Arabidopsis thaliana: one gene and its partners. The protein of the gene in region 2 interacts with the protein of the main gene of each other region in a pairwise test. Each region holds a gene or a part of one and is shown on either strand. Other genes may lie near its edges. The genes, in order: AT3G23690, AT4G30410, PRE5 and HBI1.

Region 1 (8,695 bases), on a different chromosome or scaffold from region 2:
ACACAAGATAACGTCATACAGTCAATATGCCCACCACTAAACGGCAGAGGCAGAAGAGGACCAAATCTCTCACTTGTAAAATCAAAACAGATTAAGCGATTAGCAAAGACTTCATTTACATCTACGTTCCTTTTTGCAGCACACCAGTACGTGCTTCCCTTAAGAGAACGCCACTGTTACAAAACGCTATACGCAATGTGGAGTGACATCAAGAGTAGTCCACAAATCAGAGTCAAAATCGTAGATTTCATACCAAAAGAATTGCTTCTCGTGTGCATTGTAGTAATAATCTATCAACCTCAACAACTTGTAGTTACGACAAGAATCCGTATTCACGTATCCAAGAGCGTAAGAGAACCTGCACATATTCACGTATACGATTAACTTGCAAAAAGTGGAACGATTTATCCAAAAGTCAGAGCTTTATGAAGATGCACATTGGTCAAGCCGCAGCAAAGGAAGGTGAGTCTCAGATGATCGTGATGATGGGTAACAATCTTTCTTTAACGAGTATTATTCTCAATGGAGATCCATCTATAGAGCATAAAGGAAAACTTCCTTGCCTTGACGAACAAGTCAAGATATCTCAGTTCTATCACTGCGAGGGCTTACTGCTATGCATTTTAAAAGATGATTCTAGGTTTGTGGTTTGTAATCCGTATTTGGAGCAAACAAGGTGGATCGAACCAAGATATTCCCATCGTCCACACGGATGGGATAGGTTCTCTTACGCTCTTGGATACGTGAATACGGATTCTTGTTGTTACTACAAGTTGTTGGGGTTGATAGATTATTACTACAATGCACACGAGAAGCAATTCTTTTGGTATGGAATCTACGATTTTGACTCTGATTTATGGACTACTCTTGATGTCACTCCGCATTGGCGTATAGCGTTTTGTAACCGTGGCGTTTCTCTTAAGGGAAGCACGTACTGGTGTGCTGCAGAAAGGAACGTAGATGTCGATGAAGTCTTGGCCGATCGCTTAATCTGTTTTGATTTTACAAGTGAGAGATTTGGTCCGCTTCTGCCTCTGCCGTTTAGTGGTGGGCATATTGACTGTATGACGTTATCTTGTGTTAGAGAAGAGAAGCTTGCGGTTTTACTTCAGCACGATGAATCAAATCCATATGAGCTTGACTTATGGATTACGACCAAGATTGAGACTGGAGAGGTTTTGTGGAGCAAGTTCTTGAGAGTGGCAACAGCTGGATTTAATAGTTATGTTCCTTTATAAGTGAAAGTTTCTTCATTGACGAGGAGAAGAAAGTCGCCTTTGGTTTTGATGGACGTAACCGCGAGAGAGTTATTGTCATTGGAGAGGCTGGATACTTGAGGGGATTGGATCTCGTTGGAGATTTTGGAGACCAAGAATGTAGGACTGATCTGTGCTCTTATGTTCCAAGTTTAGTACAAATCAAGCAACCTGAAGGAGGGGAATCGAAACAACAAAGCGATTTAGAAAAGTGTCGATATGATGAAAACATGTTGAGGCTTGTCTCACTCTAAGCGACAAATCAATGAGCTTTGATAGGAGGAAGGAAAAAGGAGCCAACGAGATGATATTACTCTATTATTACGCAGAAACAGAGCTTTTATTTCAAGTCTTGAGTTAATGAAACTGAAGATTAAGATCATGTTCATGGTTCATTCTTATCTTTCTTCATCGATAATGAGCTAGTCGCTCAATCTTTTTCTTCTGGAACTTAGCTTAGTGTACCTTAAAATGCAATATTAGAGTCTCATGAAGTCAATTGGGAACGTATACGAATCGAAAGAGAGAACTTCTGTAATCAACCACTCGTACTCTCAATCTTGTTTCGTAAGAAAATGTGAAAAGAATATAAAGAAGTGAACAAATTTATTCCTGTTTCTTACAAGCTTAGAGCAATCATAATACATAACGATTGTAAAACAGTACAGAGAAAAGTTCTTGTCATATTTTTACATACTTAATCTGAAGTTTTCTTGTTTTTTTTTTGTTTAAGGTTGAGAAGAAATCAACAGAGACACAAGCAAAGAAGCAACGATTGTAAACATTAAAATTCCAATATGATTCACTCCGTTACTCATCACTACTTGGTTTTCTGTATGTACAACAGAGATAATAATCATAGCTATGGACTATGGTTCAAGCTTCATCTGAAGCGTTGGCTCAGAACCTGCAACATAAAGATACGAGACTTTAACAACATAAGAGATAGTTCTATAATTTCGATAGACGAATTTGCTTCTAATTTTTCTTACAGTTGTTGTTGTTGTTGTTGCTCTGTTGCTGGAGGATATCTCCAAAACCCATCTGAACAATGCTTTGCAGGTCATTATTTTCCCAGAATCCTGGTGTCTATAATGAATCAAAAACATAAAAGGATCGAGTTTACGATACGCACAAACGAGTTTTTCTAGAATCTGACGTTAGCTACTACTAAAACTACCTCAGTGTGAACAAATCCATCGTTTGAGGGGAATTGTGTGTCTGAGAATCTTGGCATGTTCTTGCCAAGTGAATAGTATGCTGATGGAAGTCTTTGCTCTGAGCAAGCCATTGCGTAAAGAGACTGCGTTAACGACTCCCCCGGTTGAATCATCTACACATACAAATACACACATTATAGATACAAAACATTCCATAATCTGACCATTCCATTATAGATACAAAGCAGAATCTTACCTCTGTGGATAAAGAAGCATTAGCATTAAACTCCATCCTTGGATTTACGGTAGCCAGCTTCATGGACAAGAACTAAAGAAACAAACCACGAGTTTTAGATTCAAGATATACAAACTCCAACTTTCAAGAACATTTATGAAATACACAATTCATACCTCAACTTGTCTCTGCAAGGACTGCACATAATTTATAATTTCATCAAGCATGACTGCTTTCCCTGTAATCCGGTTGCAACCAGGAACCAGATCCTGAAGCAACGTCATTCTCTCACTAATCTTTTCTCTTCTTGCCTGAAACCAAAACACAGCCAAAAAAAACATCAACATCATAAACATCAAAACAGCCCCTAATCAACAAAAAAACAGATCAGTTTTAGAAGGTGTGTAGTACTCTTTCAGCAAGACTATGGCTATCAGTTGCTTGACCCCTTCTAGCTCTGACATGAATATAATCTTTAGGCGCCTCAGGAGGCTTAGCATCGTCCTTATTGTCGCCTTTACTATCGCACTTCTCTACTCCGTTTTTACTACTCCCAGCTACATCTTGCTTGCTTCTCTTCCCACCTTTAGATCCACCATTCTCTCCTGAAACCTAATCATATATCCAAAACCAAACACAACTAAAAAACCTTGTACACACACTAAAAGGTCTATAGATAAAAAGTCTCCACAAAACACAAACTTTCTTACACATATGGCTACAGTTTCCTAAAGTATACATTTTTGAAATAGAGCAAGAGAGATAATGAATCAAAACCTTTGAATTGGAAGCTGTAAGAGACGATGAAGCTGGAGACTCCTTGCCATTACCACTAGGAATCGACTTCCTCTTTCTAGAGTTAGATTTCGTGGTGTGAACTCGATCCGAAACTGAATCTGGATCCAACAAAGAGCTCTTGTTACTCTCCTGCGTTGTTGGTTGTGACCCAAATTCACGATCGGATCCAAATTGACCTGGATATGGAGGGAATCTGATTCCACCAGAGATTGGGAAATTCTCGGAGATCTGAGAATTCAGAGAGAAGGATTGTAGAGTTAACGGTGAAATCTCCTGAGGGTTGTTGCAGTATCTTCCAAGGAAATCTCCAATTGTTCCTTCATTGCCATTGCCAAAGGGATCGCTCTGACCCAAAGGTAAGTAATTTAGGGTTTGCTCTGTTTCCTTGTCCATGTTCATCTAAAAAGACTAGAACTTTTATGAACAAAAAAGTGAAAAATTCAATTCCAACAACTTCTCTGGGAATTCTGAAGAAAACCCAGAATCTGAATCAGAAAGCAAGATTGAAATTGAGTGAAAACAACCAAATTTGAGAAGTAAAAAGACAAACTTTATGTGTGTTTCTTCAAAAACAAAACAAGTGATGATTTTTTAACTTCAATGTAAGCAAAAAAAGAGCTTCTTTCAATTATGGGTTTAGTGGAGAAGAAGATCTAATGAGGGAAATGAGTCAGGAAGAGAGAACTAGAAATGAAGAAGCATGATTGATCAATTAGGGGAAAGAGGAAAGAGAAGAAGAAGGCGGTGACTTTTTTTACTGATCAAAGGAAGAAGAAGAAGAAGGTTTAAGAGAAAATGACAAAATAAAAAAGAGAAAGTAATGATAAGAAAGATTAAGAAATTAAAAAAGAGTGAATTTTACAGTTCAAAAGGAGAAGAATCTTACGTGTGTTTTATGTTAATGTGGGAACATTAGATGGTGAAAGTGGGTAGGCTGCTTAGGCTGGCCTCTGTAATCATTGGAGTGAGAATAAGAGAGAAGAAAGAGAGAGAGAGAGAGAGCATGTGCATGGCAGAGACAGGAAAGTTGTGGGAGAGAAAACAAACAAAAGGATAAAATTGTTTTTAATTATCATGTTTGATTATTCTTGGTTAAGAGACTATTTTAAAAGATGATGGTACTTACCAAAACATGGTGTCAAAAAAGTCAATTATTGACTTGAGAAGGTTTTAGACTTGAATTTGATGTATTATGAGTTGTTTATGTTAATGAAGTTTATAATGTGTAACTAAAAACATTGAGTATACACATATATTTTCATAGGTTTGTGTTATGTGTGACATATAATGATGATACAAATGAATTTGCATTTTTGCCTTTTAAGAATATTTCTGAAGTAGTCTCTGCTCCACTTGAAGTTACATTGGCAAGAGTTTGAGATGCATAGAGCTGAATATAGTGGCTGAGTATCAAAAGTCTTTTTTCGGGTTCTTAGGGGACGCGTTCTAGTACATGCTGAAGCGCTTTCTTGATTCCTCCTTGTTCCAGAGACGTTGTCAAGTGTATCTCTTGCACCTGTAATGTTAATATTTTACTTAAAATCAAACCAAGAATCTCTCTATCTATGGCCATATAAATGGGTAGCTTCTGAGATTTACCTGTCTTCCAGCACGGGCAAGAAGAACAAACTTCCCATCAGAAGGCGGTGTCTGCGTGTGAACATGCGCATAGAATCAGAATTTTCACAGAGCAGAGTTTATTCTTACGGGAAAGTAAAGAGAAACAGAACTCACATTTGAGAGCCAAAGTTGTAGGTCTTGTGAAACCACTCTTTTCTCAAATCCTTGCCGGTTGATTTTCACAGCTTCTATTCTGCAATATAGAAATGAATATTAGTTACACACTGGAACCAAAATGTTATGCCTGAAACATAGATTCTATAAGTAATGCAATTAACAATATCCAACTCATCATGGGTTCAGAAAAAGTATCAGCCAGCAATAGCTATTGACATGTATATATTCAATCGCAAATCGAGGAGTGAACAAATCTAGTAGAGTAGAGGTGATCCTAGTCACTTATAATAAGCAGATATTATGCAAAGAGCTGACTAGGACTGCATAGTAAATTTAAATTATAAAATGATATTGTCTATATACCCATCTTCCTTTAAAAGCTCTTCAAGTATTGTTTCTAGCCCTGGAAGAGGTTCAATTGTATCCCCATTGTTCGAGCTTAGCGAAGGAGATCCAGTAGAACTGTCCTGTAACAATATTCAATTATCTATTAAAAATCACTAAGACCCACAAGAGACAGAAAACACATTCATTCACATTGTTTTACCTTCAAAATCACTTTGTCTAATGTTTCTAGAAGAGGATCATCTTCTAGTTGTTTGATGGATAGTGTAATCCTTGATTTCTCTCTGCATTGGAACAACTTTTGATTAAAAACTATATCATGAGTCATGGCTAATAAATTTCAGTAACCAAAATAAGCAACTCACTTGTCAATATTCGTGACTATAACCCGAACCTCGTCACCATCGCGTAGTACATCCCTAACATCTTGAACGTAATCCCATGATACTTCGGAGACATGCACTAGTCCAGTTAAATGATAAAGACCTATACACCACCACCCCACATAACTGACATCAATGTCATAAGCTCAAAACAAGAAAAAGAAACCAAGAAATTTAGGTAAAAGCAAATATACCATCATCAAAACGCAAGTGGATAAAGGCACCATAGTCCTCAACAGAACCTACTCTTCCGTTAAACACATCCCCAACATTAACGTTTTGTGAATACTTTGGCCATAATGCTAACTTCTCAGATAAAATCAACTTTCTATTTTCCTCATCAGCTTGAACAACCTAATATAAAGATTTACCTCAAATTATAAACAATATAGAGATCACAAAACAAGCCAAAGGAGAAAACTTTACCTTTACAGGAAGTTTAGAACCAACCAAAGTCTTAGCTATCTCATGAATACTTTTCTGAGGCTCTTCATAAAGCAAAACACAAACCATCGATCAATGTAAAAATCGATACTTTAAGGACATAAACATAGAACCTTGTGAAGAAGAGAGAGTTTTGGTTACCTTTACAAGAACGGGAAGGACTTAATTGTGGATAAGGAAGAAAACCCACAAGAGAATGAAAACGAATAAGTAAGCCACCACCATTAAAGCCTTGAACTTCACCTTCAAATGTATCACCACTTTTACAATAAGCTTTTGCTGTTTTCCAATCGCTTGGTCCTGCAGCTGAAGCTTCGTCGGAGGTATCACGGAGAAGAGAATTGGAAGCGGAGAGGACTGAGGAAGAGGCTGATTGATCGGAGTTTCTATCGGTATCTGCTGTGGCGGAGCTTGAGAAGGATTTGACTATGCAGACGAGAGAGTTTCTATTGGAAGAAGAAGAAGACGAGGAAGGAAGGAGTCTAAGTGGGCAAGAGAGGAAAGTGGATTGTTGGTCGAAGAGATGAGAGGCGAATGAAACAGAACCTAAAGTAGTAGCGCCACTAAAAACCGCCATTGTTGCGCGGTAGAGCAAAAAAGCCACGGAGATTGAAGGTAATGATGGTTAATGGATTTTGCCATTTTGGATAAGAAAGTGAGAGACTGGAGATGAAGGTGACGTGGCATTTGTCAGCTCACAGGTGCTATATTTTAAAACATATAGGATCAATTTGTAAACATTGGATAATTAGAGGGTTTCTTTACAAAAACAATTCTAATTCAAGCAAAGAGATCAAATCTTTTTCCTCAGTGTCGTCGTCTTCTTCGCAAAGCCTTTCAAAAACCCTTCACTACTCTTTCTCAGAGTCTCAAGCATCATTTTCCCGAGAAAACTATGAATTCAAACATTTTCCCACCATCGAAACAACAAAACGAGCTTAATAATATACAACAATCCTTCTCAAATCTCCAATCTCAATGCTCCAATTTACTCCTCAACGTTTCACAAACCCTTAATCCTCTCTTCAACGCCAACACGAACAACAACAAACCTAATATATTCTCTGCTCTCAATTCGTTTCGTGATCAAGCTAAGCAAGCTTTAGATTCTAGAATCTCTCGATTCAATTCTGGTAAGGCACCTGTCTGGGCGAGAATTTCTGACGACGGTGGTGGTGCGAGGGCTCAGGTGACGGTTCCGATTCGCGGAAGCGGGAAAGGATTATCTGCTGATGCTATTGAGGAGAGATTGGCGGGAGTTCCTGTTTACGCGTTGAGTAATTCGAATGAGGAGTTTGTGTTGGTTTCAGGGACTTCCTCTGGGAAATCTCTGGGTTTGTTGTTTTGTAAAGAGGAAGATGCAGAGACTCTTCTTAAAGAGATGAAGAGTATGGATCCTCGTATGAGGAAAGAAGGTTCAAAAGTTGTTGCTCTTGCTCTTAGCAAGGTATAAGGAGGAATCAATAACTCAATTAGCTCCTTTAGTATTCTTCTGTTTAGTGGTTTTGATTTTTGTGTGTGTTGTTTGTTGCAGGTGTTCCAGTTAAAAGTTAATGGTGTGGCATTTAGGTTGATTCCTGAGTCTACTCAAGTGAAAAATGCCTTGAAGGTGAGTTGATTTTACGATCGAACATATCTTTGGATACTCAAAAACTTTTCTTTTTGTCACGGTAGGCGTTAGACCTGCTGAATATGACTGTCATCATTCATTAACGAGGAGCTTTTGTGTTAATTTAGTTCAGGGGCATTTTGATTACTTCAGTGGTTTATTGTAGCTCTGTTTCAGCGACTATAGATAAGTCAGTTAGTTAGAGAGGTAACTGATTAGAAGGAAGTTGATGCAGATGGAGAAGGGATTCTGGATTGGTCTAGCATTGGTTTGGGCTTAGGAGAGTTGAGGGTGCTTTAGAATTCATCATTGGTGCTTTGATTTGGTTTGTTCTCAGTTCTGTATGTGGATTCAGAGAGTGAGTAAATAAAGAGAGAATACCTTTTCTGCGTCAACAGTTGGTTTTCTTTAGGAGTACACTAATTGCATTCAGTTTTGGTACATTTTTACTCAAAGGTGGTCGGGTTAATTTGCAGGGTATAGGTCTTATGGATGTAATCCTTCCTAGATGTACGATTATGTTTCTGAAAACAGACTGTAGCATTTGGTTAGACACAGTACAAGTAAATTATATATCTCTTCTATATGTGTATACAGGAAAGGAAAACAGCTGGTATCGATGATGATGACTTCCATGGTGTTCCGGTTTTCCAGGTAATATGCGAAAGAACCAATACTTTTAATGGTTGTGACTAGCTTTTTCGTTTTTACTCTATCTAGTGGTCTGT
Region 2 (7,289 bases):
TAATTTCTTGTTTTAAATTAATTGTATATTTGTTTGATCAATTTATATTAGTTGTAGTGCAGGTATTTATTTAATATTATCGATCTAATAAGAATATCTGCTACTACAGATCTAGAAGATGAACTAAAATAACACTCTAATGCAATCGTAATGCTTCACCCCAAATGGCCGTTCAATTAATATATTTCTCAACCTTCGTTTTTTGTTAAATTTGGTGAAAACAATTATCAACGACACTAATATCATTGTATAATTTTCAATTAACACACTTCCTCTTTGTCAAAATAGACGATATTTAGCTAGAACTTCATCGTTTCACATTGATCATTTCTTGGTGCAGAGAGGGAGTCTTAAACAACATTATGAGAGATGTTAATTAGAGTCTTCTTTTCTAGCTCCTGATTTCAAATGCAGAAAACCAAAAGGGAAAAATCAGCCATGTGTTTGAATTCAAAGAGGACAATGAGGATGCCTTGGACAGATCTGGCTGAATCATCAGAAAATATGAAGAAGTAATGAGTAAAACAATGATGGGTAAAACTTTGATTATTCACAATTGGCACCCTATCAAAACATCTGCTTCCTCTAAAGTAACTATGAATAGCTCCATTAAGGAACTTAATTAGAGCATATATATAATGACAGTCCAAAATAAAGTCTCCCTCTTGTAGTATTAAATGTCTTAGCTATATGAACTTAACGAAAGAAACTTCCCATGTGAAAACACCCACTCCTCCAACGTCACTAATTAATTAGCAACTAGCACAATTATTAATCACAATTCATTTTTCTCTCTCCATGTTATGCACTAATGAATCTTGTTTTAGCATGTTTCACATTGATTGTTCGGGTTGTTACCATTTTAAATAATGATATGTTTCAATTCACAATTTCATATAGATGACTTATGTACGCAACTATGCATTTTCATATTTTATTCTTAAAAAAGTATCGGTTCGTAGTAAAGTCTGAATTAAGTTTTTTACTTTTGTCCTTGGAAGAGTACGGAAGAAGACACTAATCTACCCTTGATTTAAGGAGACAAACATATCATTAAAAGGAGATTATGTTTATTGATTTTAGATTATACCCTAAACATTATCCAATTAAAATAAAAACAGTTACTTTAATTGACTTTTAGGCTGTATCGGTCGTAGACTCGTAGATAGCAGTAGATACCATGAAACTGAAGCTAATCCACTCACCATTCCGTCGGTTCTTCTACCTTTTTAACTTCAAATTATTTCACATGGCCTACACATAGACTATAGTATACATTTATCTAAGACCATGCGTTATATGATTATGATAAGAATGGAGCTCGTAAATAGTATATCAGATAAAGTTGAATGAAAAAAATAGTTGATCGGTAAAATAATATTATACTTGATTAATTGAAACATATATTGAGGATAAGCTAGAGTTACCATTTCCTATAACTATTCTACTTAGATTAGTACTCTTCGTATGAATCATATGTTACATTTTATATACACTTTGATAAAACTATTTGTTTTACATATAATTCTGTTTTGCATCAATGGACTCTCACTATTGCATCTTGTGAACTCGTCTGTTTTATTCCCCATGATGAGTGATGAAACCATCAGCCACGCCACCAATGATCTCAAACATTATTTTTATATTATAGTTACATCTGTCAACACTCAACAGTAACATCAATGTATTGTTCTGCAATGTCATCTCACATATCTTTTGCAAATTCAAAAAGTACGAGATATCTCTCTGTAGATCAAGACCATTTGGTGTTCTTTGATTCAAGACACTAGAAACAATTTGATTGTACTATAAATCCTCAATTTTTGGAAGTTTATCAACTGTTAGGACAATCGACCTGTCAGTAAATCTGAATTTCTTATATGATAGTAAATGATTTTAAAACATATCACAGCCGTCAATCAGAGAGACTGTGAGAGTCACCGTTGAAAATCACTCTTTGGTGAGTGAAAAAATGTAAAAGTAAAAGAACCAATGGGTAAGGGTCCCTCCACGTGTGCACATGCGCTTCGGTGGACGCGTGCATGCAAGAGTGTTGCCACATTAACGACGTCGTAGAATGTGATTAAGGGCACAAAACATTTTAATCAAAGAAAATTTGACTGATGGTGACGACAATGAGATGGTGGGCGTGTAGAGTTCGGAGAATGATTGTTGAGATTCCCGTAAATTACGGAGGTCCATTGGAAAACAAATCCCCGCACCAGAAGATCCATGTTCGATGTATTTTGTTGGAGAAAAAAAGCTAATTTTAATATCAAAAATATTTCTCTTTCGATAGTTGTATATATTTATCGAACATCAACTTTTATATTCATGTACATCTATCAATATCATTTTTTCGTTTTCTGAATTAAATTGACCAATATAAATGAATTATTATTGTTTCTTTTTCCTTTTTATCAACAATTATTATTGTTTCTTTTTTTCTTTTTCAAAACCAGGCTTTCCCAAAGTTTGCGGATCGCCACGTTTTAACCACTAACACCATATTGATGTTATTTGTTGTATGTGTATAAAAAAAGTTATGGCACAGTTAATGTGTTGACCATGCTTTTCATATTTGATACCTAGTTGTGAATGTATCACTGTGAAGCATCAAAAAGAAGATGAAATAATGCACCGTATAACCAAGGTGTGCACTGTGCAATGCAATGCATCATAAATTTCTCAAATTCTGTTTTTTGTATGTAAATTATTGACGTATAATGGTAAATATGATTAATAGATTCACTCATTGTTCGACAATAATCAAACTGAATATTGCTCGATAATAACTGAACATATTACATTAACAAATTACGCACTCACAATCGTCAGAACCAGCCATTATTCTCAGCTATACATTCTATATCATTTGTTATCTTTTTATAACCTTAGGTGATTTAGGTGATCCAGGTCACGGTAAGTATATATAGATTATAAACTTTTATGGAAGACTGATGACTCAATCTACAACATTGGAGAACCACAACTTTTTAATCTATACTTTACGTTCTTTAACATTTAAATTTCAAAACTGAGATGGACTTTTTTAGTTATTATATATGTTCTAACTAAGTAATGACACCAATTCAAAGATAATCTAGATTATTTAGCGTGCTTATATAGGCCTTTATTTGCTTGGCGACAGCGCTGACTGATAAGGTTGTCAGATAGAGAATTACATGTTAAATCAAATATGTGAACATACATTACATACATATATATACGAGTGATGAGATCATTATATATCACGGATTCACGGAGTGTGAAAAAAAAAACCAAATGAAGCTACGCAGTTGACAGAAAACAAACGAAAGATACACAAAAAATGTTTTTTTTTTCATAAAATCCTCATAATTGCAAAACTTAAAACATCAAAACGTATATATATCATCACAAATTTTCGGCGGAAACAAATAATAATGGACAAAAGTTTCCTAAATTATAGGGTAATACAAAAGGGTACGTGGGCCATTCGTAGCATGTGCATGCATGTGCTTCTCCTATCTCCTATTGCCCCCACCATTTTCCCTCTCCTTTTGAAACAATTAAAATGGACCCTTTCCTTCTCCTTTCTCTCTCCCTTACCTCTCTGTCTCTTTCCCTCTCTCTCGTCGAATTCACGAATTCGTGAGGTGACCGCAGATTTGTTCTTAGCAATCTTTGACGACACTAGAAGTAAACAAATTCTTAAAAAGGTATGTGTTCATGTCTCTTCTGGTTATAATAAGGAACCCTAAACGGGGAAAAAATCCAGTTTGGTTATGATTTGATGTATATTAGTATATTACATACATGTATCCCTTTGATGTATAAAGACATCATGGTTTATTACTTAGGATTAACTTACTTTTTCTTGAAAAATGACTCATAATTGAGTATATTTCTACTTGATTAGGATTTAGGATGCAGCCTACGAGCTCAATGAATGAAGAATTCCTAAAGAAATGGCAAATGGGTCTTCAAATATTCCGTCCTTCGATAGACAACACGAGCGTCCACGAGAGAAAAAAAGCAATAAAGCTCTCTGCAGACGTTGCAATGGCGTCTCTAAGAAAAGGAACAACTTGTTGGAGCCGAGCCCTAATCGAGAAAACCGCCACCGAGGACAATTTCCTCGTACGTCAGATGCTTTCCGGCATCAAAGCGGAAACGTTAATCAACAAGAAGTTGCCTAAGAAGACTGTGTGTCATAGGAAGATCGTGAGGCGAAGCAAGAAGATCTTGAGGAGGAAATCGAAATCAGCGAGCGAAGAGGCTGCAGCAAAAGCTAAGAGACTCGTCAAGAGACGGACTCAAGGATTAAGAAACGTTGTACCTGGTGGTGAGTTGATGAGCAATGACGTCTTGTTGCTTCAAGAAACGTTAGATTACATTGTGTCGCTTCAAACGCAAGTAAATGTTATGAGAAGTATTGTTGATGCTGCCGAGGCCGAAATTGAGAGATAAATGATAAAAAAAAATCTTGTTTTATTTTTTTATCTGCGGAGATTAGTTGCGAAAGCATGATGTCGATCGGATCTTGTTGTTGGTCATTAGAACCGTATGTTATTCGGACAATGCAATTGTCATACGAGGATGGAGAGATATTATAGTAAGCCATTTTGTACATAAGGAAATTTATACAATGCTTATAGAAAGTTTCTGCTACGTGATGGTGGTTTTTATTGGAACATTTCTTGGCAAATTTTTATTTTTTTTGAATTTAATTTAGTTAATGTGAGTGAATTTTAAGATATTTTTAACGCTTCGATTGCTTTTCTTGGCATGTTTTTATTTGAGAGAAAAAAATAGACAAATGTTATTTTATATTATAGATATCTGGTTCAGTTTTATTACAACTCACTCGTATTGGATAGCTCATTTGACATGTCAACCCAAAACAAATGATATATACTAGCTCATGTGAGTTTTTTTTCTGTTTTTTTTTTTCAGATTTTCAATGTTAATTAGCTCATATGAGTTGTCCAATATATATTTGACTCTTTGCTTATGTTTTTTTTTGGGTTAAAGACTTGGTTTGAAAGGATAGTACTAGTCTACTAGAACAAAACAACCAATAAGACAGCACGTGTAAAAATCAGTCTTTTTCGTATATACTCCATGTTTCATCAATCAGCATCATTTAGTATTCAGCTAAGGAAGAAGACGCTTAATGGCAACGAGGAAAAAAAAAACGTACATATTCACGTTCATTTTTTTCCTAGCTAAATTAATTAACACCGTTCAAAGATATATTATTTTGTCTCATGAAAGCTATGCCTCCCACCGATGGTATTTATCCATTTATATGTGCATCTATGTACATATGATTAATGATTCTCACTTCTCAGTTAGATCTGCATTCATTTTTGTTTGAACAAATTCTTATTAAAAAAAAAATCTTATTTGCCACGTACTTTATATGTTAGATCATGTAACAAAGGGGTATTTTCGATTTTTTCTGTATGTGGTCTAAACTGCAAGTTCTATTGACAACAACCCCAATGGTTTTTCTGTAACAGCTAACTTGCCAACATTTTCTTTGGAGATTATTAGAAGGAAAAAAACGAAAAAAAAATACCAATATAATATTACACATTTTGAGAAACTTGTTTATGTTCTGTTAGGCCCAGCCCAGTTTGTTATTAATTGGACTCGTAAATGGTTTGTTTAATAACAGTTGGACTCTTGTTAACCAGTCAAATGTCCACACAAACTAAAGGGAAAGAACTCAAGAAGTGAATGAAAGAGAGACAACACGGCGTTGCCCTTTATTTTATCTTAAAACGACATGTAGTCTTCCCTTATTAATGTCTTGACTCTTGAGAAATTGTGAGTTTGACTTATGTGACTTTATTTTTGGCTGTAGAATTGTCGAGGAGCAAGGAAATTATTAAGTAGAAGCGACTTATAATTTTAAAGGTTAGTCAAACATTAGGATTTAGGAGAAAGTTGTCTCAAACTATTTGTGGAACTTAACCCTTTTTCAAAAAAAATCATTTGGGGAACTATCTAAGAATTTTAAAGTCAAACAGAAATTGAATGTTATAGCTTACAAGAAATCATGTCATATTCTCATACATATTAAAGGAGTGTTACAAAAAAGGTTTATTTTCATTTTAAAATCCAAACTCTTATGCAATAATGCAAATGCACCATTTATACATAGAAATAAACGGCTTTGAGTATACGATAATTCTAGCATATGGTCCAAGCTAGAATCAAGAATCACTTTCACAAAAAAATTGTATACCACTATAACCGATAGAGACACCCTATGTGGTAAAAATTTCGTATTATCTTTTAGTGTATATTTTCTTTGATTTTTGACCTATTCCTATAGGGATGAATAAACTTTTGGTCGCAAAATTGGGATGAATTAACTTTGCACATAAACCAATGTTATTAACGTTATAAAATTACATGTAAGTTGTCACGCAATAAAGACTAAGTGACTAGTGGGCATGTAATCCAACTGCTTCCATGCCCGTTATTAATTCACCCATTAATGCAAAACTTTAGCCATTCAACATTTAAATACATACATACATGTATACAACATATCGCACAAGAATCAAGATGTCACTCTTTTGTCGTAAGAAGAATTGCCTCAATTCAATGCAACTGTCTTACCACCACACCTACTTCTTATCTAATGCTCCAGAAAACAGAAATTAAGGAAAAAAAACATATAAACAAAGATTCATAGAATAATGGTTTGTATCTCAACTGCAAATTATATGATTCATTATCTTATTGTTAAAAAGAAAATTCATATTAGACACAACAAATTGTATGACTAACAGTTCCGCTAAACATATGTAGTATTGATAGCCAACTTTAGTCTGAACTTTAACCTAACAACATCAAGTTCAGGATTTTAATTTATCTGAAGAAATTTGCGATAACTACTCACCGGTTAAGCATTTTTACGGTTTCTTCAACAATCTTTAGCTTTCACATGACCAAACAAGAATCATGCGGTTTTGAATCTTTGACAATTTTATTCCTTGAACTTACTTATTCATGATATTTAATTGAGTCGTTTTCTTGTTAGATGGAAAGCTTCAATCGACAATTTAATTGTTGGGTCTAATATTCAAGAACTGAAAAAGATTTGTCAAAAATAATACAAGACGCACCAAATGTTCTCAATCTATGTCTAAAAATATATGTATCTCAACACCACGTTTCTACAATGATTCATATATCTTTTTGCACTTATGAGGACTAACACAAAGAAACAATTGAACAGAAAACTAAATTTGAAAATGGAAAAATTATAGTAACTAGACATTAGTTGA
Region 3 (7,225 bases), on a different chromosome or scaffold from region 2:
GATGGTGACATATACGAATTACGGACCCATGTATGTAATGTAAGCATACTGTCAAGGAAACTGAGATAAGTCATACAAATTATGAGCCCAAGTAGTATATTTCAATGTCTTTATAATGGGCCTTAATTTGGACTTTTATTTTGTTTTGTTTCAATTAAATATTTTGGCCCACACAATGAGCCAGCCCATGAACCAAAATCAACTAGAGCATTTCCTTTGTTTTTGTCGTATGCCTCAGAAAAATGGTCACAATACACATGGACTAAATTCAAAAGTGCCGTAAACAAACTCAAATTAAAAGACTTATAAGGCTATGATAAAGAAGGAAATAATAATGTGTTTGTAAAAAGAGTTGAAAATGTCTTACTGTTTAACTAATCTCACACTTGGCCATGGTCTACATTGTCTTAAGTTCGAATCCCTCGAGAGACATTTTGTTATTTTTAAACAATGAAAACGACATTATTTTAAAGAAGAAAAAATGTCAAAATAACCGCGAACTTTCAAATTTGAGACGAAAAAAACATGAACTTTCAAAATATCATATAAATCACAAAGTTAAGTTTGACTTTTTGAAAAAATTGTCAAGTTCCGTTGACTTGACCATTTTAGACACGTCATTAAATTTCCGTTAACATAATTAACGATGTCAACCTTCTGTTAGAAATGTCTAATAAATCGAAATGACGTCGTTTTTAAAGCTCCAAAACGACGTGGTTTCATTAGAAACTAATGATGCAAAACTCGCGTCCACATATAATCGAACATCTAACCTATTAGATTCATAAGGGACAATCTTTCGAATGAGTATCCGATATAATCATATAAAAAATATTCTAACAAGACCCAATCAATTTTAGTGGATGGTTACTAGTTCTAAAAATCTTAACTCAACCACCATGAATTAGAACCGAAGCGAAACCGAAACTGAACCAATTTTCTATATTTACTCTATTGGCTCTTAAACTCTTTTATCCGAAAATGAGAATCCAACATGAATATCCCAATGCCGAGACCAAACTGCAACATACATTTACGGTATACTCTCCCCCTTTTAATTATATCATAAAATGTTTTACATTCGACGTTGGTAAAAGGAAGATAGTGTAGGAGTTATAACAATTATTAATTGGTAAATTGATCAATCAGTATTTTGTTGAGCGCAAAGCAAAGGTAGATGAAGTGTGCTTAAACATCATTAAGTAATTTGTCGGGGCATAATTTTCCCTTTCTTTAAAACAAACTTTTTTTGTTTGCAACGCATACATATTTTTATTTCTTCAACAAGGAAAAAAAGCATATTTTTATACAGTATTCTACTTATAAAAAGGTCAAGACGTATTATGACTCGTTGAAATCACTATTATAGCATGCTGAATAATAGTATATTATTACGCATTTTTCGTAAAATCGTATTGCTTAAACTACGTTGATTCCGCAGCGTAAACCTAACCACGAAAATTACAACTATTCAAACAAAAAGAAATTAAAACATGTATATAGTTATATCGGAAAATTCAATTATTGCATTATTGCATAAGGCTGCTTTTCTCATTATTTTATCAATAACTTAAATTTGAATAATCTTATTTTGTTACATTATGTTTGAATGGACCAAAATTGATAGGAAAAATCAAAAGGGATCGTTGGACATAAAAACATCGTGGAGCCTAAGAGGCCTAACATTCAGTACGTGAAACCCACATGGACTAACATGTTACATCTCCCTTAGCTATTAATTTACAGTAATATATAATGTATACTTATAATGTGCATTGTTTTTCTTAAGAATATTAGAGGGAGTTTTGGTTAGATACTTGATTTTTTTCCTTCTTCTATTTTTCACTGAAAATGCAAACTTTTATTAACAAGAAAAAAGTGGAGTCAACACAAGTATGGCTGCGTAAACCAAATCCAAAAGTTATAATGGCAAAAATCTGTCATAACAAATCCGAGTTTTAAGGTAAAAACAGAGCCAAAACATAGTGATTAGCTTCTTTCCGAATATGAGAACGAACCTTCTCAAACAAGGGCTCTTGACTTTTAATGTCTACGTTGGATACACATCGTTTTAATGTATATTTATGGTGAATAATTCATGTTGTCGTCAATATCGTTATAAATGCATGGTATAATTTTTGGTACGCATTGTCTGCTCCATTGTGTGTAGAATAACTATTCGGAGCTAATCTTAATTTTGAAAATGCGCGGATAAAAGACCGTAATTTTACATGGCTTTTCTCTTGATAGAACTTATAGTAATACGACAAATTTAAACATGACTAATTTTGTTGAAATATATTTCTTTCGTTTGTAAAATTATGAGTTTAAACTCACATTGCAGATAGACTAAAGACTTGACTATCAAAAAATCAAAAACTAAGATCAGAAATAGAAAACACATAGGCAAAGTTCCTAATTTGCAAAAAAACAAAGACAATACCAATAATCTATATATGCAAACGAAACGAATATGATGATGAATACGTATCATTTATGCTATGTAGTATTGTTCTTGATAATTACGAATGGTTTAACAATATAATTATGTAGATAACGTTTAATGGACAATTGTATATATGTCGAGTACTTTTCTCAACCTAGCTATACGCCTTCAATTGAGACGTCTTATTTGTCTTCATTACAACAAAACAACAAAAGACATGCGTGCTTACGTTACGGTCACTCAAAATTTTATACATTTTTTGTTAATTGTATTTAATCTTATTAATTATTATGGTTACCATTACTCTGTTCACTTTGCACTACTTGTTTAGCATATTTTGTAATAACTAAATTTATTTTACTCATTACCTTCAATGTATTTCAATATTCTAGTCACCAAAATGTAAATTTCCCGGGTTCAGTGATCAATAAAACAGTACAATTAGTCTATAACTATTTGTTTATGTTTAGCTAATTGAAATGTGTTTAACACTAAAAGCATTTCATTCAAATAGAGGATAAAACAACCATATTACAAATTTAATTAATGTGATGCGAAGCTAAGGCAAACAAAGCTGTAACAATCACATACTTAGATGTCCCCATAAAGGACGAGAAATAAATAAAAACGAAATAATTAGTATGAACATTTTGATTTATATCTTTTTCTCTTATCACAATTTGGATTCAAATCCGATGTATGTGTATTGTAGAAAATAAGCTATTAATATGTTCGCCTCCATCTATTGCTCTACATGTAAATTTTGTTTTAAGTTTCTAAATCATAAAAAAAAATTAGGTATTAATAATTACAGAACTTCTCCTTAATTAAGTTTAGATTTTTAATTATAAGTCCTGGTATATATTTTCCTATTAGCTTGGAAGTTGGAGGAGAAAACATGGTTCAGTTGATTAGATTTAATACCAATTAATTAGTAGACTTTTCCTAATTTACTGACACTTTTGTATGTTATGCAAACAATGCACACAAATAAAGGACATAATTAAGTACCTTGTGTCCCCGTGGTAATCATGATTTAGAATCTAAGGAGGCATAATCTGAGATCTGAAGCAACCATATGGGACATATATGATATATGCCATTAAACATCAAGTATACTAAATCTCTCAAGCTTCCGAAACATAGGAGTTAAATTAGGAAGCAGACGAACTTATCATGACTACTTTTTTTGGGTAATCCATTGCAAGACCGAATCAAAGTCCACGCTGCTTTATTTTTTTTTCCTTTTTTTTTGCGGTCTATATAGATTCAATAAGGAATATCAACACATTGATTCAAAATTATTTGTGCTACTACAAGCTATGTGTAATAAGTTTTAAGCCATGTGAACACACTAATTTAACTAAACCAGTTCATCTAAATTGATTTGGATTACTACATATGTGTTCTTGTGACATATCATACATGACAGGAAGTTAGGTCTATAATCTTGAATGGAAAGTTATGTTCAATTTCGGATCAACCACAAACTTCCTAGATCAATTCTAGATCTTTCTATAATTCTATGGATCCAAGGTGGGATAATATCGTAAATAGTAATGAAATGAAAATAGAAAGTCAAGGTCATCACATGGTATTGCCTTTTAGTGACATGCACATAAAGGGCCACATTGTTAGCTCAACATGGAACACTTCTCTTAAATCCCACTTCAACTTCAACACCAGCTTTGGGAACATTCAGCTTTTTCATCTATTTCTCCATTAAAATGTCCAAAATCCTCGTCCATTATTCAGCATAACTATATTATATACAATTCTTTCAATTATTAATCTTTTACTAGTTTTACAAAATAAATTTTGATTTATATCCATACAAATAGTTTTTAAAAGTTAATAATATATGATAAAGCTATATAAGTTTTCCTTTAAATTAGTGAGTACTTTTTATTATAAATATTCATTTCTAATCTATGTTACTCTATGTAGATGAGATAAAGAAAAATATAATTTTATTTAAACAAATTTTGTTTGAGGTTTTATCAAAGATTCAAATCTCTTTCTCTCCCATTACATCATTGTCTAGGTTTATTGATCTCTTCCCTCTCTCCCTTGTGGTCCTTGACCTCTTTAAATCTCTCTTATCACTTTCTCATTTTCTTTATATCTCGAAGTGTCTCTATTACCCGAAACACTTTCTTACAATTTTCTCTTCTCTTCTCTTTTCGTTGCTCTTCTTTTTCTTTCTTTCACACCTCTTCAACACAAATATAAAACCTGTAGAATAAACACAAACCTTCTACATAACTTCTCTCACTTTTTTTTTTTTAAAACTCTCTTCTTAATAACAAACCCTTCTCTCTCAATCTCTTCTCTATTATCTAATCTAGAAAAGAGAGAAAGCATACAACATAAAGGTTATTTTCTTGCGGCATTGTAGTGTTACACCTAATCACAAAGTAAAAACAAGAAAATGTCTAACAGAAGATCAAGACAAACTTCGAATGCTTCGAGGATCTCCGATGACCAGATGATCGACCTCGTTAGTAAGCTCCGTCAGTTTTTGCCGGAGATTCACGAACGGCGTCGTTCTGATAAGGTATACGACATATATACATTCATTTCACCTCATTCATGTATATACAAAAAAAAAAAAAAAACTGATCTTTTCGTCTACATTTAAATCAAACAAAAGAAACCAAAAAAGTCGGAACATTTGACTCCTGACAACATTTTTGAACTTCGAAAAAGTCTTGTTTATGTGGTGTTCGTACATGTGTGTATATATATTAATGTTCTTGATGATGTTTGTTGAAAATGTAGAATCCTAACATTATTATTTGTTCAAAATAGGTGTCAGCATCAAAGGTACTACAAGAGACATGCAACTACATAAGAAAATTGCATAGAGAAGTTGACAATCTCAGTGATCGTTTGTCGCAGCTTCTTGACTCTGTTGATGAAGATAGCCCTGAAGCTGCCGTGATTAGAAGCTTACTCATGTAACCTTCCAATATTTTTTATTATAACTTCTTAATATAGTATTTATTAATTTATCTATATATGTAATCTTTATCGTCCTTTATATATCAAGCGACGTGCTTTTATCTTTTATGAACTTTGGAATTTTGGTACAGAAATTTACATTAATTTCTAGTCAGTAGTCTCCTAAATTTCTGATATTTATTAAAAAATAATGGACATTGTGATGTCTAAACTTGATTGTGTTAGTCAAATATAAAAATAAAAAACAATGCCGAATGAAATAAATAATGAATAATCCTTCAGTTACTATTTTTGTTACAATTGGATAAATATTTCGATTTTGAAATTTGTTATCAACTAATATTAATGATATACATTTTTCCGTTTCTAATAAAATTATTGAGGATAGTATTTGTTGGGTAAGCACCGGCTCATAATTATTGCATTCCTATAAATGACTATGACGTTGACGAAGTAATGAGAGGTATCTACATTTAACGGTGATAATTAATCTATGAAAGCTAATGAGCATGAGTGTGTATACGAATGCCCGACTAATCTTTTTGGATTTTTTTTGGTGTACATGTTAGAAATGTCCCATGAAGACCTTTCGCTTTGACGAAAGATTCATAATTTTCTAAAAATTGTTTACAGAGATTTAACAGACTGCCAACTTATGGAATATAGAAAATTAGTTATAAGACCTAAAATTTATGCAATCATTCTCATATAAATATAGGATTAAGAATTCTACAAATTTTAGGATTCATATATGAGAAGGATTATATAAATTTTAGGTCTTATAACTAATTTTCTGTATTCCATAAGTCTTAGGTTTTCATTAATAATTTAGGAAAGAATAATCTTATTACACCAACAAAATATGTATGCAGTATTTGCTATTATACCAAGATATTTTCGTAGTTTAGCAATTGAGAGTCTCTTATGAGTCCAATAGGTTAGTAGTTTGCTTTCTCGTAGGTTTTCCATCTATTTTCTAATGAAATGATGTCATTTACGAGCTTTCAAAACTATGTCGTTCTAAGTCTATATAGGCTTCTAACGAAAAATTAACTATGTGATCGTCTGGTTAAGAAAACTTAATGACATTGTCGAAATAGTCAAGTTAACGAAAATTCATCATTTTATCATAAATCAAACTAAAACTTTGTGATTTAAATGGTATTTCGAAAATGCATGTTTTTTCATTCCAAATTTAAAAGTTCGTTTTTTTTATAGATTTTTCACGTTCATATATGGGACTACTGGAAAACTTAGGGGGCTCTAAGAATAAGTATTTATCCTTTGTCATAGAGCGTTTAAATGATAGAATTAATTGATGGTCATCAAAATTGTTATCTAAAGGTGAGAAAGAGGTGATGATTAAGCTGCGTTACATACTTATGTGATGTCTTGTTTTAGACTTATCAAACTCGGTCACATCAAAACTTACCAGCGCGGTAGCAAAATTTTGGTGGAGTTCAAATGGAAAATCAAAAAGTATACACTTGATGTCAAGGCATAAGTTATGTCGCAATAAATCGATAGATGGAATATCTTTTCAGACTGTGGAAGACATTAATACTGCATTATTGTGATCTTTGATTTATTATTTTCTAAGGTTTTTAAAGGAAGATATATTTGGAAATCAAATTCCATGGATCGAATTAGATCCAATTTGATTATATGGATGAGAGAGTATTCTATCTGCTCGACCTCTAGTTAAGAACTTATTAAAAAAGTTGGTTCTATAGAGTCAATTTCAATATGGAATGACCCCTGGATTCCTGCTAAATATTTGTGGCCAGCTTTAAACAAAGGTTATAATTATAACCC
Region 4 (8,267 bases), on a different chromosome or scaffold from region 2:
CATCCAAAATTCAAACCCGCATAATGTTATCTTCATGGTTTTTTTTGTTTTTAGTAGATAGCATATATCCAAGAGTTTTATGTAGATTTTTGGTTATCGAATTTTCGACAGCAAAATTTAATATATAATTTTTAGTTAAATTTCATAGAGCATTGGCTTAGCCATCATGAGAAAACAATCTGTAAGATAACTATTTGAACAATTTAGCCTTTTTAATGTCGACTTAAAAACCCCTTAGGAATCAAACACATGCATGTTTACTGGTGGTGGCGCTATGAAACTAGTTGTGGGAGTGTGGCAACAATAAGTTCTTCAACTTTTTCTTGCAAAGGAATTTGCATTAGTTATTTACCATATCTGGTCCAGATCATAATTATTCTAAGCTTTTGAATACTTTTTATTTTAAGATATAAACTAATTCAATTTGTCTCGTAATCGAATCAGAAGCACAAGGATTCGTCCGGATAGAAGGGTATTTTATTTGGTGCCTATTTTTTTGATTAAAAATAAGTAAATGTTGATATTGAGGTTTGTAGTATAGTGTTTATATATATTTATAGACTATAGTGTTTCAATTCTATATATTTATTAATACAATTTAATTTTTTAGTCCTCGTTGAAGTTGGGAAATTATGAATGAAAGAAGGATTGTCCAAATAAATAAAACTGGATTTCGACTTGGTCACTTGGAATATTGGATATATGACATGCAATACAATGTCGTCATAGAAGGAACTTGTGACCATTTATTATTATTTTGTTACATTTGTTTCACACGCACTGTTGATTACACTAGGCTTGACTTCATATGTTTGCATTGGATGTAAGGCCCAACATCGAAGCTTGTTTGTAGTCGACAGTTACTTCCTCTACTTTGAAAATTAATGTAAGCGCAACATTGACTTCATATGTTTGCATTGGATATAAGGCCCAACATTGGATGCTACACTTTGAGGTATTACTATGAGTACTAGAACTTTGAATCTGTTCATCATGCCGATTGCTTTCATTTCAAAATTCGAACATATCACCTTGTCTCCAACTCAAGCTCAAAAGAAAATAATACAAGAGTTTTCAAAATACTACTTATGACCAAAATTAATATTATATTAGTCTTGTTTAAAGGACATTGCAAAAGAAAAGGAAAAAAAAACGAATGAAAGTTGAGCTTTTTTTATTTTCTTTCTTTCTAATTCAAAGAAGAGTTATAAGTTATTAATAAATTGTAACTCTTGTTGTTTCCTTTTTGACTAATAGTGTAGTGTTAGACCTTGTTGTTAACTTGGTTCGCTTTCACTTCTTCTCTTTCCTAATTTTGCTCTTCCTCTTCCTTGATTTTCACTAAACTTAGCTTGGAACATAAGAGCTGGAGCACACAATTGGGCAAGAAAATGTTCTAACTTCTCCAAGATCCAATTTTTTCAAGCATATATTCTCTCCAATGATGTAAGCATATTTGTAGGCTTGAGATTCATCTAACTCAAAAACCACGAAGACTTTCTTCTCTTCATCAATGAAGAAACCGCAAGTCTCTTCATAAAACTGAAAATCAAGAACAGTGAGTGGTTCTATATCAACTTTTAAGAAGGGGGTCCACAACACCACTTAGGGCTCAATCTTAGTTATAATCCAAATCTCTATCACAGGGATTGATATAACACCGAGAGTTTCTCTTCTTTAACGCAAGATAGAGTTTCATTATTGTTATCATCCTCATGATGCTGAAATGGCAGAGGAAGAACCTGTCCAAATCTCTCTGCTGTAAAATCAAAACATATTAAGAAATATGGGGTTTGAAATGGATCACACCCTTTCATTCTTTCTTGAGTCCAATAGTAAGTATTTCCGGTTATTAATACTTAACCCAAACCAGAGAAGTGTTTGGATTGTGGGTTAACCGGTCGAACTGGAGGGTCCGAATTGGACGTGAAAACACTGAAAAAAAAGTAATCTATTTGTGTATCAGACTGTTACACATAACAAAAAAACATATAAGCTTTTGTTACTGGCATCGATATTGTTATTACAACGGTTCTGTTTGATATTATCAGTAAACAAATTAGAAAACTTTTTATCAAAAAGAAACAACTTAATATTGTTAGACAGATACATCTTAGATGTGAGAAACCTTAAGAATTATATCATGACTTGTATTTTTTAGGAAAAAAATCATTAATGCAGCCAATGTTATAAAGTTGATTCAATTTGGTCCAACTATGTAGATTGAAAGTAATGACTTTGTGCTATATTGCTACATGTATAATATTAACATAACTAGCTAACTTTTTCACAATGGAAAACTTATAAGAACTTAAATCCAAAAAAAAAAAAAAATCGCTCGTTTTGCAGTTCTTATGAATGTGATTGAAATTTGGAAGTGGGTAAACTTATAACTTTAATAGTATTACAACAGTGAATGGAGAAGGACACTATTAGGGACAATGTTCCACATCGGAAGTTAAGTAGGATCTTAAGTGGTATATATAAGATAGCGGCCTCTCCACCTATTGCCAATTGGTTTTAGGTTGGAAGCCCACACTCTAATATGGTATCAGAGCCCGATCCGCACATACTCAACCCGATCCACATCGGTCCGGCCCAATACTTGGCCCGCCGATCCATGCCCAAACATATCGAGATCAATGGCTAGAAGAGCCATCATCTCGAGGGGGCGTATTAGGGACAATGTCCCACATCGGAAGTTAAGTAGGATCTTAAGTGGTATATATAAGATATGGGTCTCTCCACCTATTGCCAATTGGTTTTAGGTTGGAAGCCCACACTCTAGTAGACAGAAGAATATGATCAAACACTCTGATCAAAAGCAATGGTCTCCTACCTTCCAATCACTTATCTTCAAACCCATTGTTTTCTTTATATATTTTAAATATATTTTGATGTCGCTTTTAATTATTAACATGTCATGTTATAGATTAATTTCTAAAATATTCAATGGTTGGTGGTATACTGTTCTTTGTTGTCTTGCTGTATTATCTATCTACTCATGGATTTTCGTTTGATTCTTTTATGGAAAACCCAAGATGACAAGATCTTTTGCATGATCTTGTCTTGTGTCTTTATTTCAAACTAACTGAATATAGTTAGTTATATATTATTGTTATCAATAAGCTGGAGTAGCTCAGTTGGTTAGAGCGTGTGGCTGTTAACCACAAGGTCAGAGGTTCGACCCCTCTCTCTAGCGATGTTTTCTTCTTTTCAGTTTTTTTTTTTTTTGTACTGATACAATTACAATTTACAACACAAAATACAAACTATTAGACTACATGTCAATAATGTCATGATGCAAATTTTGCGGTCAAACTTTTTTTAATATAAGTTTTGTTACATGGATTCAATGTAGTTTGTTTGGGTTTTACTTTGTAAGTAAGTTTTATAGAAACAATCAATTTTCTGAATTTTAGTTTGGATTGAATTCAATTAATTTGACTATTCCAAATGTCAATATATGTTAAGGTCTCACTCATTGTTTATTTTTTCCTTGTAAAGCTCCTCTCATAAACTTGAAAGGGCAAAAAAGAAGAAGAAAAAAAAGAAAACATAACACACACAAAGAAGGGATAAAGAACCTCTAAATTTAGTGTTCATAAGGACATGCCCACATGGTGTGGGTTATGTCACTTAGACCCTACACCTTCTCCTCTCACCTTCTTTGCTCCCAACCTTTTCTTTTATCAATTTATGTCCCTCTCTCTCTTAGATACCGAATCTTTACTACTATTTTCCGCAATTTGTTCTTGAGCCTCTTTTTTCTCCTAGTCATAGTCAAGTGTCTCTAAACGATGGACCCGATTTATCCACCAACGCTAACGTTTAATCTATCTCACTGTCATTTGTGACTATCACATAGCTACAGTACGACCATTTTCGTAAACTTATCATAAAAGATCGGTCTCAAATCCGATACAAATGTTATGTTGAACATCTACGTAAAATAGAAAACTATTGTTATTGCTATATATTTTTTAAGGGATACGTATAAAAAAGTTGTGGCGTATAAAAAACGTGTGGTACCATTTTGAATTGGTAAGAGAGTATTTATTTCTAGAGAGGTAAGAGATAACAAATAAGTAAATGAAATTTCTACATTTATAAAGGAAAATAAAATAAAAACATAAGAAGTAGGGGACCTTATGTGTGTGGGTCAATGTTGTTTTCTATTTAAAGCTAAGAAGAATGATTTCAATGGATTAGTTTCTCCCAACTCTTTCATCTTTTTTAAGCAACCACCCAAAAACAATATTACATAACCTAAATCTCTACTTCTTCATACATTTATAGCAAATCCTCTTTTGCTTTAAACCCACCAAATAACTCAGAGCTTTTTTGCATTTTTTCCCATTCTCTATTTTGTTTTGTACTTTTGGTCTCACTTTAAAAGATCATAAGTTGAAAGATTTCTGCAGAGAACAATATGTTGGAAGGTCTTGTCTCTCAAGAAAGCTTGTCCTTAAACTCTATGGACATGTCTGTACTTGAAAGGCTTAAATGGGTACAACAGCAACAACAGCAACTGCAACAAGTTGTGTCCCATAGCAGTAATAATTCACCTGAACTTCTTCAGATACTTCAGTTCCATGGAAGCAACAATGATGAGTTGTTGGAGAGTAGTTTCAGCCAATTTCAAATGCTTGGATCTGGTTTTGGACCAAACTATAACATGGGTTTTGGTCCTCCACATGAATCCATTTCAAGAACAAGTAGCTGCCATATGGAACCTGTGGATACAATGGAGGTTTTGTTGAAGACCGGTGAAGAAACCAGAGCCGTTGCCTTGAAGAACAAGAGAAAACCAGAGGTTTGTAAGATCAAAATTTTGGATAAAAACTTTGTTTTGAGACATGGTTTTTGATATTTTTTATTAATAATGTCTTAGGTTAAGACAAGGGAAGAGCAAAAGACAGAGAAGAAGATCAAAGTAGAGGCTGAGACAGAGTCAAGCATGAAAGGAAAATCAAACATGGGAAACACTGAAGCATCTTCAGACACTTCAAAGGAGACATCGAAAGGAGCTTCAGAGAATCAGAAATTAGATTATATCCACGTGAGAGCTCGTCGAGGCCAAGCCACTGACAGACACAGCTTAGCAGAAAGGGTAATAAAAATAAATAAGTTTCTTGTGATACAAGAATCATGATATATCTAGGGTTTCTGAATGGATTTGGATTTGCAGGCGAGAAGAGAAAAGATCAGCAAGAAAATGAAATATCTGCAAGATATTGTGCCTGGATGCAATAAGGTCACAGGAAAAGCTGGTATGCTTGATGAGATCATCAATTATGTTCAATGTCTCCAAAGACAAGTCGAGGTAAGCAATGAAACCATGATTCTCTGTAACTTAACTTCACTATTAACCAAAGAGAATAAGTCTAATTCTTAAAGAGCCATACTTTGCAGTTCCTGTCGATGAAACTTGCTGTCTTGAACCCGGAACTAGAGCTTGCCGTGGAAGATGTATCCGTAAAACAGGTGAAAACACATTGTCTAGACCCTCAAAGTCATATTGATATTGCTCAACAAACTTAAGGGTTATGAAATTTTCAGTTTCAGGCTTACTTTACAAATGTAGTTGCTTCAAAGCAATCAATAATGGTTGATGTGCCATTGTTTCCGTTAGACCAGCAAGGATCTCTAGATTTGTCTGCGATAAACCCGAACCAAACGACATCTATCGAAGCTGTAAGTACAGCTTTATATGAAACTGAAAAACTTGTCAGAGTTTTTGTTCCTTGTCAGTGAAGTAACCTGTCTCTGTATCTCTCTATTTCAGCCATCTGGAAGCTGGGAAACTCAATCACAGAGTCTCTACAACACATCTAGCCTCGGTTTTCATTACTAAGCAAGATTCATTGAAACAACATGGTTGACATCAATCAATCATCAAAATCAGAAGCAAATTCTATTACATTTGCTCATCAAAGTAGTAATTTCGAAATTTGGTTAATGCATTATCCTTTGATCCTTGTTTTCTGATATTTAAACCAGAAGAACTGGAGATAGCAATCCAATGATCTTGTCACCATCAATCTTTGTGTATAGATTATATAGAGAGATAGATAAATATGTTTTAGAGGAGTTATAGATATATATCATATTTGTAGAAGAAAGAGAGAAAACTCTTGTGGTAATTACAATTCTTGTTTGTTTTTTTGGATATATAAATATCTAAGAAAATTATAAATCGTTTTCCTGTTTTTTTTTTCTGCAACGAATATCTAAGAAAACTCTTGTGGTAATTACAATAAAATATCTAAGATTCTATTGTCAACGAAATGTACCCATCAATATGTTCCCATTCGAAGGGTATGGGTATAGAGTTATTAGGTCGCCATGATTTTTTATAAATCGGTGGAAGAATACTTTTGATGATCAAAGTAAACGGTATCTAGGCAGCCAATTAATCAATGTCGATTTTATCTTCACATAAAATTTTATTCATTGAATACAAATTATTTTCTAGCTATTTAATTTATGTAAAATTAAATCGATCATAAGAAAAAAAACTAATAGCTTAAACAGATGTTGTCTTTAGTTATTTTGATACAAGATTGCATTGTATTCTTTAAAAATTCATAACCAACATCATGGCGTTGAATTTGGATGTTGAATCCGAATGATGACTCTCAATGCACATTTAGATGAAAAGAAAAGAAAAAAATTTCGTTTGGAAACAGCTCATCGACTATTCACAGATTCGGGAGAGGTTATTCATTTATTCTTCTATTTTCTTGCTAAAGATTAACCATATATTCGAGTAGGATTCTTGTAAAAAGCAAACATCATCAAATGTGAAGTATGTGTCAAATAAAATTTTGTCAAATAAAACATCATCGAGTAGGATTCTTCTATTTCTATTTTTTTTTTGGATATTAGTTAGTGTCAAATAAATTTTTGTTAATTTAAAAACTACACTAGTAAACATTTTTATAACAAATAAGAAAATTGGATTCTCGAGTGATGGCAAATTCATGAATTCTTTATGAAATTGGTGAACATATATAAAATCGGACGTTGTTTTAAATTTGTTTCATTTTTAATTCAAAGAATGATATTTTAGACGTTTGATCATTGTTGTCTTGTTGATGCTACGATTGCATTCAAACTCTAGTTTTCATTACATTCAAAATATATCTAATTTTGCATTCGGATGCACCTACATATATAATTTTACAAAGCCAACAACATTCGTGCATCTATATGAAGAAACCAAAGATCCCTTAAGTTTCTAGCTTATTATTTTCTTTTCCAACTTTATCAATGCACTACAAAATCTACTACACTATGCTACTATAGTGATATGTATAATGTTACTGATGCTGACACAAGCTCTCTATATATTTATCACAATATGTTTTCTAAAAGTAGCTTTCAAGCTACCAAGTGGGTCAATGTTCTTTTCTCATATCAATTTTTCCAACCAATGATCTATTCATGAACTGTCTGATTTTGACAAGATCTATATGATAAGATATTATCCATAACCAAAAATGAAATTGGAAGTAGTTTTTTGAAGGTAGGAGTAGTTAAGAGATTTGAGAGGATCGAAGAATGAAGAATCTGAACCACAAAGAGTGGGCATCATTGTGGTTGCAGAGATTTTTAACCAAAGTGGACCTTCTTTTGTTCTTTCGGTTCCATTGAATTTTATCTTCCTTCATTTTTGAAGTAGTTGAAAATCTCTTCTATATTATTTTCAAAAAAATTCGAAAAGAAACAAAATTAGAGAGGTGTCGTTATCAAAAATAATGAAAGTCTTTGTTATTTCTGAAGTTAAACCATATATACAAAAAACAAATATAGTTTTAATATCTAAATATAAATTCATTCACTTAATTATAATTTTTAATCTCTTTTTTTTTTGTCTACTCATATTAATTAGAATTCAAAAGATTCATTCATGAAAAATATTGTTTACATATGTGATATGATGCGGTTCGGTACAAACTTTTCGTGCCATTATCCTATAATTATTAACTATATAGTGTATAATTGTATATGTAATCTTAAATTTCTTAAACACTTACATGATACATTATATTTATGTCTTTTATATATTAACAAGAGAGTTAAAGAGATTTTCAAATAAATTATATGTTTAAAAGTTTTAGAAGACTCATGGTTGTAAAACTCATGGTTGTTTAGTAGTTAAAAGACTTATCCAAGTATTGCTCAATTTCAATAGTTAGTCACGATAAAGCTCTTACGGTTTATAAAAAAAAAGTCGTATTTAGTCTAGATTTATGTCGGAA

Evidence for each region.
Region 1: the proteins of AT4G30410 (region 2) and AT3G23690 interact in binary tests that used the Arabidopsis thaliana proteins (3 or more experiments, as listed by UniProt).
Region 3: the proteins of AT4G30410 (region 2) and PRE5 interact in binary tests that used the Arabidopsis thaliana proteins (3 or more experiments, as listed by UniProt).
Region 4: the proteins of AT4G30410 (region 2) and HBI1 interact in binary tests that used the Arabidopsis thaliana proteins (3 or more experiments, as listed by UniProt).

Annotation. Positions count from the first base shown.
Region 1 is NC_003074.8:8,526,808-8,535,502, forward strand, and holds AT3G23690 (basic helix-loop-helix (bHLH) DNA-binding superfamily protein), read right to left. Parts: upstream 4,552-8,695; 5' UTR 3,849-4,551; coding exon 3,429-3,848; intron 3,264-3,428; coding exon 3,063-3,263; intron 2,963-3,062; coding exon 2,828-2,962; intron 2,745-2,827; coding exon 2,673-2,744; intron 2,590-2,672; coding exon 2,437-2,589; intron 2,346-2,436; coding exon 2,249-2,345; intron 2,164-2,248; coding exon 2,126-2,163; 3' UTR 1,802-2,125; downstream 1-1,801. Other genes in the region: AT3G23680 (F-box associated ubiquitination effector family protein), read right to left, coding at 1-153, 254-366; AT3G23685 (F-box associated ubiquitination effector family protein), read left to right, coding at 432-1,175, 1,262-1,510; AT3G23700 (Nucleic acid-binding proteins superfamily), read right to left, coding at 4,882-4,965, 5,049-5,099, 5,184-5,262, 5,550-5,653, 5,734-5,815, 5,897-6,017, 6,109-6,268, 6,341-6,402 and 1 more; Tic22-III (Tic22-like family protein), read left to right, coding at 7,254-7,805, 7,893-7,967, 8,565-8,621.
Region 2 is NC_003075.7:14,868,472-14,875,760, reverse strand, and holds AT4G30410 (sequence-specific DNA binding transcription factor), read left to right. Parts: upstream 1-3,493; 5' UTR 3,494-3,909; coding exon 3,910-4,452; 3' UTR 4,453-4,777; downstream 4,778-7,289. Other genes in the region: AT4G30400 (RING/U-box superfamily protein), read right to left, coding at 7,275-7,289. UniProt on the Arabidopsis thaliana protein: Functions redundandly with IBH1/BHLH158 in a regulation node known as the incoherent feed-forward loop (FFL).
Region 3 is NC_003074.8:10,853,966-10,861,190, reverse strand, and holds PRE5 (basic helix-loop-helix (bHLH) DNA-binding family protein), read left to right. Parts: upstream 1-4,403; 5' UTR 4,404-4,877; coding exon 4,878-5,003; intron 5,004-5,257; coding exon 5,258-5,410; 3' UTR 5,411-5,568; downstream 5,569-7,225. UniProt on the Arabidopsis thaliana protein: Atypical and probable non DNA-binding bHLH transcription factor that integrates multiple signaling pathways to regulate cell elongation and plant development. May have a regulatory role in various aspects of gibberellin-dependent growth and development.
Region 4 is NC_003071.7:7,950,612-7,958,878, reverse strand, and holds HBI1 (basic helix-loop-helix (bHLH) DNA-binding superfamily protein), read left to right. Parts: upstream 1-4,139; 5' UTR 4,140-4,432; coding exon 4,433-4,816; intron 4,817-4,894; coding exon 4,895-5,113; intron 5,114-5,191; coding exon 5,192-5,326; intron 5,327-5,415; coding exon 5,416-5,487; intron 5,488-5,562; coding exon 5,563-5,697; intron 5,698-5,788; coding exon 5,789-5,843; coding exon of another isoform or gene 5,844-5,857; exon of another isoform or gene 5,858-6,238; coding exon 6,239-6,333; 3' UTR 6,334-6,475; downstream 6,476-8,267. Other genes in the region: AT2G18320 (F-box associated ubiquitination effector family protein), read right to left, coding at 1,348-1,542, 2,216-2,251, 2,570-2,659. UniProt on the Arabidopsis thaliana protein: Atypical bHLH transcription factor that acts as a positive regulator of cell elongation downstream of multiple external and endogenous signals by direct binding to the promoters and activation of the two expansin genes EXPA1 and EXPA8, encoding cell wall loosening enzymes.